Linked DNA regions of Arabidopsis thaliana. The protein of the gene in region 2 purifies or fractionates together with the protein of the main gene of each other region. This does not show direct contact. Each region holds a gene or a part of one and is shown on either strand. Other genes may lie near its edges.

What was found. Proteins that work in one complex are often made in the same cells at the same time.
Region 1: the proteins of CDKB2;2 (region 2) and CAM6 purify together in Arabidopsis thaliana (affinity purification with western blotting, with the first as the bait; one study listed by BioGRID). This does not show direct contact.

The regions. Positions count from the first base shown.
Region 1 is NC_003076.8:7,213,974-7,219,042, reverse strand, and holds CAM6 (calmodulin 6), read left to right. Parts: upstream 1-2,990; 5' UTR 2,991-3,092; coding exon 3,093-3,168; intron 3,169-3,929; coding exon 3,930-4,303; 3' UTR 4,304-4,569; downstream 4,570-5,069. Other genes in the region: CIPK26 (Ca2+regulated serine-threonine protein kinase family protein), read right to left, coding at 1-66, 150-257, 453-524, 643-705, 792-962. UniProt on the Arabidopsis thaliana protein: Calmodulin mediates the control of a large number of enzymes, ion channels and other proteins by Ca(2+). Among the enzymes to be stimulated by the calmodulin-Ca(2+) complex are a number of protein kinases and phosphatases.
Region 2 is NC_003070.9:7,290,816-7,296,331, reverse strand, and holds CDKB2;2 (cyclin-dependent kinase B2;2), read left to right. Parts: upstream 1-1,585; 5' UTR 1,586-1,667; coding exon 1,668-1,900; intron 1,901-2,281; coding exon 2,282-2,423; intron 2,424-2,511; coding exon 2,512-2,573; intron 2,574-2,665; coding exon 2,666-2,777; intron 2,778-2,909; coding exon 2,910-3,003; intron 3,004-3,090; coding exon 3,091-3,160; intron 3,161-3,251; coding exon 3,252-3,390; intron 3,391-3,484; coding exon 3,485-3,580; 3' UTR 3,581-3,824; downstream 3,825-5,516. Other genes in the region: AT1G20940 (F-box family protein), read left to right, coding at 1-1,058; AT1G20925 (Auxin efflux carrier family protein), read right to left, coding at 3,825-3,949, 4,033-4,218, 4,307-4,359, 4,439-4,539, 4,630-4,722, 4,799-4,933, 5,029-5,150, 5,225-5,349 and 1 more.

The sequences.
Region 1 (5,069 bases), on a different chromosome or scaffold from region 2:
CAACGCACTCAATCCAAAATCAGAGACTTTCAGATTTCCTTGAGCATCTAGAAGCAAGTTTTCCGGCTGCAGTGAAATTGTAAGTATCAATTATCTGCACATTAAAGAAACATACTGCAAACTTGGGCATAAACCAAAAAATATCATACCTTTAAGTCCCGGTGGTACACTCCCCTGCTATGGCAGTAATCAACTGCATTAATAAGCTGCTGAAAATATTTCCGTGCATTCTCTTCTTTCAAGCGCCCATCATGTACCTTCACAAGTTTACACATAATGCAAAGGTTAAATCTACAAAGGTTAAATCTACATCAGAGATAAGAGAACGTTTCAATTGCAAGAAACAGGAACATCTATCAAGATTGACCAGAGCTTAGCATACATGTTCAAACAACAATAGATGGATCAAGTAACAATTATAAATCCATTGGGAGGGATTAAGGAAAACTCACAATTTTGTCAAAAAGCTCTCCACCAGTGCCGAACTCTAGAACAATATATATCTTAGTCTTGCTCGCCAAAACCTGGAACGGTATCAATCATTTCCTTAAAAGTTAGCTTCAGCACATTGGCTTCACATACAAAGAGCTCTAAAGCAAGCCAAAGAAAAATAGAGACACAAATAGAAAAATGGAGATATACCTCATACAGCCGCACTACATTTGGATGGTTTATCAGCTTCATAGTACAAATTTCTCTCCTTATCTGTAAAAACAATCAGGAAAGACACACATCATACTTTTGGACTGAAGATGCATCTAGTATATTATCTTATTAGGAAAGAGAGTTACCTGTTCAGCCATCTTATGCTTAAGAACCTTCTCCTTATCAAGTATTTTGAGAGCCACGCGTTCTCCTGTCTCAGTATTAACAGCACACCGAACTTTCGCAAAAGTGCCTTGTCCAAGCGTCTTTCCAACCTCATACTTTCCAACACGACGCTGAACCTTTGGCCGATTCATCACTCCGAATGTTCACCTCTTGATCTTCAAAAGCTGTTTTTGGAAAATGTAATCTCGCATATAAGAATGATTCCATGAAAAGAATCCAACACAACAACAGGCAAGATAGTGTTTCTTTGCTCAATTCACGGAAACTAAATGCAAAAAAAGTGAAAGAAACCGTCAAGAAAAGAACAGTAATATGCCACAGAATTCAATAAAGACAAAGCGTAAAAACAGCTGAAAATCCACAAGGCAATGACAAATCTAGCAGCGGAGATTTTCTCCGGAAATTCCGATCATCCTTTTTAATTACTCCAAAAACAGCCTAAATCTCTAGAATCATGACTTAGATAAATCATATATTGTTCAAGCAAGCATCTACAAATCCAAAATTCTCCACTAAACCAATATTTGTACTGATACACAATTGAAGCGAGATTCTCGAGTTAGCTACAGAACTAATCATCATCACCATCATATAATATAGAGATTATGCACACTTTACACATAAACCAAAAGCGTAAGCAACTCTCTAAGTTACCGAATTACTCATCGAATTCGAAGCAAAAACATGGAGAATCGACCAACAAACCTGCAAAATTGGACGGAGAAAAGTGAGCGAGTAGAGGTGACAAAACCGATGTAGCCGCCTTTGGGGAGCTCAAGAGTTAGCAGGAGAAATTCAAAAGAAAATCTATGGCGGAGAATTCGCAGGAGAAATAAAAAAATGATGGGCTAATACAAGGAGCAACAAGAGATAGAGATGCGACGAAAGAGATACGATGATTGTAGAGAAATTTGTAGCTAACAGACAAAAACTTATTTAATTTCGTGTAGGGACTCTCTCACTTTAATGGACACTTGTTTTTTAATTTTTTTTTTTCGTATGGGACAATTATACGTTTCTTTCCTTTGTTAAGCTCCTCAATTTTCTTAAGAAATAAAATTATGTTTTTTGCCTTTTTTGGTCAATTATTTTGGGTTAATTAATGTAATGACAAAATATTTGAGTATTCAGATTTTGACTAGATATGGACCTAATCAATAGGTGTTTTTTTTTCTTTCTCATTTGAGTTGTTTCTAAGTAATCGATGAATTCTTATGTTTTTGTTACAGACCATTTAAAAAAAAAAATAGTTGTAACTGATTTTATCCACTATTATATATTTTTAAGTCTTAACTCTGAAGTATATATGAGTTTTTTGTAAGAAAGAAAAACCGTTGCTTCTTCACTCTCACTTACTTACTAGTCACTACAAAGTTCAACAAAAGTCATACATTGCAACCGTTTTGTGTAGTGTCAATGGTTATAGACTGATGACAATTATTAGAACATTGAACAAATCATCAACGGCAAAAGCTCATTAGACTCATTTGTAGCGAGTACATATATATTCTAGAGGTGTGGAATAATAAGACTCATATAAATGATCGAACACTCTTTTTGTTTTTAATATAAAAACTAAAAAAATTTAAAAACAGTTTACTTGGAAAAAATGTAGAGATATTGACTAACTTTTTTATTAAGTATCCATTTAAATTAAAACAAAACATGTAAAATCGATTCAAGTTTAACTATTTCTACAAAAAAGTGTATTCATGTAAAATTTTTGCTTATACATATCCGTTTCTGTAACGTAAATTTAGAGGATACTCTAATCATTTCATATGTATCCATATATTATTTTTTTCAACATATTATAAGTTTTTTTTTAATTTTCCAAATTAATTAATATCCTTAAATATCTATCCTAGTTTAAAAACTTTTTATAATTAAATATTTAAATGAAAAAAATAATGTCAAAAGTTTAATTGATATACTGTAAAATATTCTACTAAATCAGTTTTGAAAATAGTCAAAAAAAATTAATAATTGTTAATTTGATAGATTTATTACCTAGTATATATGTCTAAATTAACTGCAAAGGTTATAGTTTTCTTTATAATTGTCTTAAAAAACTAAACTAAAAAGACAAAAAAATCATAAGAATTACTGAATTAGCTAGTAAATCTTTAGAGGCCCAACCATAAGTTGTTGGGCTCTCTCTCTTTTATAAGCTCTCTTGCTGAATTATTATTAGAGAGGCAAATAATATATTCAGTAGCAAAAAAAAAATCTGGGATTTCTAAAAAAAGGTAAGAAGGAAAATGGCGGATCAGCTCACCGATGACCAGATCTCAGAGTTCAAGGAAGCCTTTAGCCTCTTCGATAAGGATGGTGATGGTATGTTTCTTTCCCAGATCTTTGCGTTTTTTCCCCGATGATTACTCCGTCCGTATACGAGTTCTGGAATTTGTTTGACAGATTTATGATCTTCTTCAGTTTTCTGTATGATTCGTGTTTGTTTCACTTGTGAACGATCTAGCTTTTGGCTAATTCGATAGCGATTCATGACTCACGCTGTGTTTTGTTCTTGTTCTGGTTCAGTCTCGTGATGCAGCAATGAAATGTTTTGGGAAATTTATCCATATGTTGAGATTTTGAGTAGTTTAATTGTTGAAAAAAGGATTGATGTTGTAGATATCAGGAATGTATTCTGCTTTGATTGGTGAAAAACTTGCAAAATTCTGTTGTGCATTATTGGCCTTTGCACGGTGAGATGTGGGTTCAATAGAACGAAGTGGCTAGGGTTTTGATTCTGGCTTTGATACCATGTAAAGAGATTTGGAGAAGAATATTGTGTCTTTTTAATACACATGATTCTAGATTTGCTAGTACACACACATAAGGAAAGACGGAATAAACACAGAATATTTCTTTTACCCTAACACTTTAGGTAGGACTTGGAAGAGTGATTATTTTTAGTTTGTATGAATGGAGTTTCTTTGTTAACTTAGTAGGACTTTGTTGAATGAAAAAAAATCATTCTCTTTTTTACTTACCAGATCTTCATCAGTCGAAATAAGAAATACAATGGCTTTTGTTTGTTGACTGTGGATATAAGTCTGTCTCTAAAAGCTTATTATACCTGAATCTGGTTGCAGGTTGTATCACCACCAAGGAGCTCGGAACCGTGATGAGGTCTCTGGGGCAAAACCCAACAGAAGCTGAGCTTCAAGACATGATCAATGAAGTTGATGCAGATGGGAACGGGACCATTGATTTCCCGGAGTTCCTGAACCTGATGGCAAGGAAAATGAAGGACACTGATTCAGAGGAAGAGCTCAAGGAAGCTTTTAGGGTTTTTGATAAAGACCAGAATGGTTTCATATCTGCAGCAGAGCTTCGACATGTCATGACAAATCTCGGTGAGAAGCTATCCGATGAGGAAGTTGATGAGATGATCCGAGAAGCGGATGTTGATGGCGATGGTCAGATTAACTATGAAGAATTCGTCAAAGTCATGATGGCTAAGTGAGAGAATTTTATCTTAAGCCCACAAAAAGAAACAAGATTTATGATTTCTACAGTGAAGTTACATTATGACTTGATTCTGGTTGCGTTCTTTAGGACATCATTTTGCTTATTTCCCTTGTTTGTTTGGTTAAGCCTTTTAGTGTTATGTGAAGTATGAACTCATATTTTGCTCTCTTTTTTGGGCATCTGATTTTATTCTGTAAATTTTTGTTAGTTGTTGTTTATCTTAAAGCAATGCCCTAAAATTTGGCCGCGTTTAAAATACCAGTAAGAGAATTGACCAACGAAAACGATTTTGCAACATCGCCAACGTTATTGTTATTTTACATGAAAAATATAGTAGTTATATGTATCAATAAAATTTACAAACCATTTTGTTTCTTAGTTTGTAAACCGTAAGTCCCTAACCTTCAAACCTTTTTTCCATTAGGATCATCAAAATTGGAAATTCTTTAGAAACAAATGTAAGTAGCCTCTAAATCTATTGTTGTCTAAAAGTTTTTTAAATGATCAAAGAGGTTGTAAACCTAATTTCGTACACTCCCTGATGCTAGAGAGACCAAAAGATGTAATGTGACCATCTCCCAAACGAAAATTGGACTCTTGACCTCTAGGTCCAGAGACTCTTTAGTCAACTAAGTTTGTTGGTGGATGCTTGGTTTATATAGGGTCAATGTTAACCCGATCCAGATAGCGAACCGGACTACCTTATAGGTCATCAGATCATCGTATTCACCCGCGGGTCAAATTATTATAATTTATTCTAT
Region 2 (5,516 bases):
TCAGACCTAGTTTGTTTAACCTTGGTAGCTATGGCGCTACTTATGTATGTTGCCATCCTTTGGTCTCTTCATGCGATTATATGTCACCGGGAAATGGAGTAGAACTGTTTGATGGTAGTGCGGATTGTTACATTTTCGGCTCATGCTCTGGTCTTCTCCTATTGTACATTGGTTGTCTCTTTGTTGCAAATCCCTTAACAAAAAGGTTTCGAATCCTGGATCATTCTGGATCAAAGCTTATACCAATGATAGTTAATGGTGGACTTAAAGGTCTTAGCGGAATTAGTTATCCTGGAGGTAATGTTGCTTGTACGGAACGAGCGATGTGCGTTGGATTTGCGGTAAATCGAAATCTAACAACCAAGAGATTCAAGATCGTGGGCATACTCGAGATGGAAAACGTATACGGATTCGAGATCAACGAAGGAGACTCTTGGAGATTATCGGAAACGAGTATCACCACTAGCTCAAAAAGTGATCTCACTACGCGGATGAAACCTGTTTACTTGGACAACACTCTTCACTGGCTGAGAAACGATGGCAGCATCATGTCTTTTAATCCCGAGACAGAGCAAGCATGCTTGATTCCTTCCATATTTCATCGGGAACCGGATACGAAGCTACTTTTCGCGGAAAGCGTTAAGATCAATCGCCTGACCCTAATTTCGGGGACGATAGAAACAATCTCCGTTTACACACTTGTCGAGAATCACAAATGGACACTCACAAGGCGGATCAAGAACATATCTATCGAGGAAGAAACGCTTGTATATTGGAACATAGCTATGTACGATGGCAAGTGTCTTGTGGTGAGGGTGAAAAAGATGGGTTTAGAACCTTTGGCAAGTGTTCTTCATGTGTACGACATGGAAGCTAACAGTTGGGGAGTTTTGGTGTCAACCCTTGCTTGGCCCAATTGCGTCCGAGATTTCTATAAATTGACGCCCTCCTTGTTCTTTGTAGAGGAGGATGAGCAACAGAAGGTGCTTGTTGCTTCTAATGACCGACGCATCTCCTATATAAATTCGATTATGGGACTCATTGATACCACCAAGTAAACATTTAGGGCCTATAGATTATACAAAAAATGTCCTGATTTATAAGAATGTTTGTTTCCCATTTGCTTTTATCATTGCACTATTATGGTTTATGTATTTCAAATCTAAAAATTAGTTGTATATTACTATTTCTTTTGGGACAAAAAATCATTTAAGACAATGTTGTTTAAGAACTTGTTCTTCTCTGGCTTGTCAATTTTTCGTCCTGCCCAATAAAGGCCCATCTTGTGTGTTTTGTCGAATCTAACAACAAACTCACACCTTTTGACCAAAAAACAAACTCTCCCCTTTTTTTTTTCCTTTCGTGTAGCTAAACCGTCTCCGGATGTTGACAAACATTGGTTATTCACTTTTTCCACGTCACACTTAAAAACAGAACATAAAAAAAAAACTAATGACGACGCTCCAGTTTTGAATTTTGAAAAAAGAAAAAAAGAACCGTTGAAAAAACATGAGTGCTCAAAGAGGGAATATACCTTTTTAATAATCTCCTTCCTATTTAAACCAATTCTCGAATCTAATTACATTTCCTCTCTCTTTCCCCAAATTGAAAACAAAATCTGAGATTCGCGAAGGAAGAAGAAGAGTTGTCTTGAGAGATTGATAGAGATGGACAACAATGGAGTTAAACCCGCTGTTTCCGCCATGGAAGCCTTTGAAAAGCTTGAGAAAGTAGGTGAAGGGACTTATGGGAAAGTTTACAGAGCAAGAGAGAAAGCTACTGGGATGATCGTTGCTTTGAAGAAGACGCGTCTCCATGAGGATGAAGAAGGTGTTCCTCCCACTACTCTTCGCGAGATCTCTATCTTGCGTATGCTCGCTCGTGATCCTCACATCGTTAGGTTCGATTTCCTTTTACATTTCTGATTCGGTTCAGTCACTTTCTGAAATTCTCCGATTTACTGGTTTTGATTGTGGATTTAGGACTCAATTTCGATTTCTAGGGTTTAGTCCCGATTAATTGATGTCTCAATTGATTTGATGACTCTGATTCTTCCTGCAAATCGCGCTTAGTGTCGCTCTTAGGTGTTACTGGTAGATCTTAGTTTCAGTTTGCTATTTGTTGTGTGGTCCGATCGAGATAAAATGGGTTCCTTATCTTATCCGAATACTAGAAAATGTCAAAGTAGAAGCTCTGTGTTGTGATCTCAGTTTCAACTATTTTTGTGGTGATTGCATTTCTACTGAGAGATTATTGTTATGATGATTATCTTCTTCTACAGGTTGATGGATGTTAAGCAAGGAATAAACAAAGAAGGAAAAACTGTACTTTACCTTGTTTTCGAGTATGTTGATACTGATCTCAAGAAATTCATCAGAAGCTTTCGTCAAGCTGGACAGAACATTCCACAAAATACTGTCAAGGTTTGGATATTTGGAGATTTTGTTCTGCTTTTTTTCTCTCATCCGATAAGCCCCTTTAAGCTAAGAGAAACATGTTCTTGAATTGCAGTGCTTGATGTACCAGTTATGCAAAGGCATGGCTTTTTGCCATGGTCATGGAGTGTTGCACAGGTAAAAATCGTCTTTGTTTTGGAAGAACTATGACTTGAGATAACCCATTTTGACACAGATCTCTAATCCTACTTGTCTTGGTTTCATTACAGGGATCTTAAGCCTCACAATCTCTTGATGGACCGGAAGACAATGACGCTCAAAATAGCAGATCTTGGATTAGCCAGAGCCTTCACTCTCCCAATGAAAAAGTATACACATGAGGTATATAAGTCTACGTTGATGAAACATTAGTCCTGTTTCATTCTAGTTTTTTTTTTTTTTTTTAATTCTATCTTAGTTTATCTGGAGTTATAACTCAGGATGATTTTACCCCCATGATTTCATTTGCAACAGATTCTAACTCTATGGTATAGAGCTCCGGAAGTTCTTCTTGGAGCAACCCATTACTCTACTGGAGTGGATATGTGGTCTGTTGGCTGTATTTTTGGTACAAAATCTTCTCTTACAGTTTCACTGGTTTCAGTTCAATGTCACTAGCAAGAACTAACAGTTTTGTTTCCTTTTTGATGTGTAGCTGAACTAGTGACCAAGCAAGCAATCTTTGCGGGAGACTCTGAGCTCCAACAGCTCCTCCGTATATTCAGGTAAGTCTTTGTGTTCATCTTTACCTTTAAGACACAAACATGACATTCGCTAACTTGGTTGTTCTGTTTCTTTCTTTCCTGTCAAACTCAGGTTGTTGGGAACACCAAACGAAGAAGTTTGGCCTGGAGTAAGCAAACTCAAGGACTGGCATGAATACCCGCAATGGAAACCGTTGAGTCTCTCCACAGCTGTGCCAAACCTCGACGAGGCTGGACTTGATCTCTTATCTGTAAGTCTCTAGTGTCTAACACACCTCTCAGACCTTGCTTGATTAGTAGATAATCACTCTGCTGAGACTAATTTGTGTTTCTCTTTGTGCACAGAAAATGCTGGAGTACGAGCCAGCAAAACGAATCTCAGCAAAGAAAGCTATGGAGCATCCTTACTTCGATGATTTGCCTGACAAGTCCTCTCTCTGAGGCTCTCTTTATAAACTCTCAATAGGATATTTTGTTCTATCTCTGTCTTTGCTTGTCTCAAGCATTTATCTGCTATCTTAGGATGATTGAAGTTTCAATATTCCCTTTTGATTGGGTCTCTATTCCCAATTGTATAACCTTCCAACATTTTTATCAATGAAAGAATATATCAGTTTCTCTAATATTTCAAAGTAGCAAGATTTGCAACTGTTTCCCATTTGTGTAAGTGTGTGTGTGTGGATGTTCAGGCTACGAGCCACATGAAGAATGTTGGCCAGACAGTGAGAGAAACTGAAGCCAAGGCATAACTCCAGAATAGAATCACAGAGCATTCACTTTCTCCTGATCCGAATAGTTGAGTGATTGTACCTGCCAAAAGGTCAAGTGAGTTTATGAGAAAGACAGTGTGATGACATGTTTTGGTAGTATTTTTGTGAGTCTGAAGAACGAACCAAGATTCATCGCTGGGGGAACGACATACTGAAGCAGAAGAACAAACTGGTAAAGCGGTTCGGATGTAACCAAACCCAAGTAATGCGCTCCTCGTACTATGAAAACTCCTAATATTGGCAGCAACAAGTAACGCACAACCACCACACCCATTATGACTGACTTGTTTATTCCTGAACCTCTCAGACCTGTGATTATTATAAGAGAGAGAACAGAGATTTAAGGTTTTGTCTTAGGAAAAAAAGTTTCTGCAGCCATTTGTTATTGTTTATCTACCATTGAGAAGGTTTCCTCCAACAATCAGAGTCAGAACAGGAATCGCCCCGTCCCTTCAAGAAAATTAAGCTACTCAAGTAAGCATTGTTAATTATCACTGACAAGTGAGATTTTTAATATGTTGTAGAATACCCCAATAGAGATACTGAGTCCTCAATCACTCGAAGTGGAGCTGTGTTACCGACTAGTAGCTTCCGTAGTAAAGGATTTAACCCAACCGCAAGCGCGATAAGCTGAAGAGAAAGAGGATTAGTTGCTTAACTAGTAAGAACATACAGAAGCTAGATAGCAGTCGTTTAGTTCAAGGGAACATTGAAACAAACCGCTGCAATAGTTGAAGGAGCAAATATTGTTCGTAGATTGATTTTCTCTGCTACAGAGCACACTCTTTGTTTGACCTTGCCCCAAGTCCCAACCTTGTCACATATACATTCTCTCAAAATCAGTAAGTTGGCTAACAAGAATATAAGAAGGAAAAGTTTAGACTAATACCTGTTCCGCAACTTCGACTTTGGGAGAAATCAGTGGCATTGTAGACGAGGTACTGTTTATTGCGGTTTCTCCAGCAGGATTTGCTAGCATCCGCATAAGATTGTATACATAAGTCCATATGTAAATGGCTCCAATCTGATATACATCACAAAACGTTTTTGACTTGTATTGGCATTAAAAAAAAACTTTAGTAGAGAAGCATAAGAAGTAGTTAAGAAATGGTGACATACCGCCATAGAGAGTGCAATATAACCAAGTCCAAATTTCTCACAAGACTCAGGATCTCCAAAAGGACTTCCCTTTTCATTACATATAGCTGGGATGATAATGAGTGGCATATTCCCCAAATTCCCTGTTGGATTACACAATCTCATCACTGAATCTAAGAAAATGAAAACAGCTTTTGTAAGATGATATTAAAGTTACCAGCAGCACAACAACCAACGATGATGCCACGGAGATGCGAAGGAGGTTTAGTGATTTTGATAACAATCCAACCCAAAAACGAACCAATGATGAATGTTAGCAAAACATTAAGTGGCATGAACCACCTGAAAATGACCCCAACAAAATCAACATTTCATTTTCAAGAAGAATCAGTTCTTTGAATAAAAAACACTTACATTTTCACCATGCTTTCGTATGTAATAGTCTCAGATAAACTGCTTGCAACAAGAGAAGGACTAAACACATAGAAAACTATCTGTAGAAACCAAAA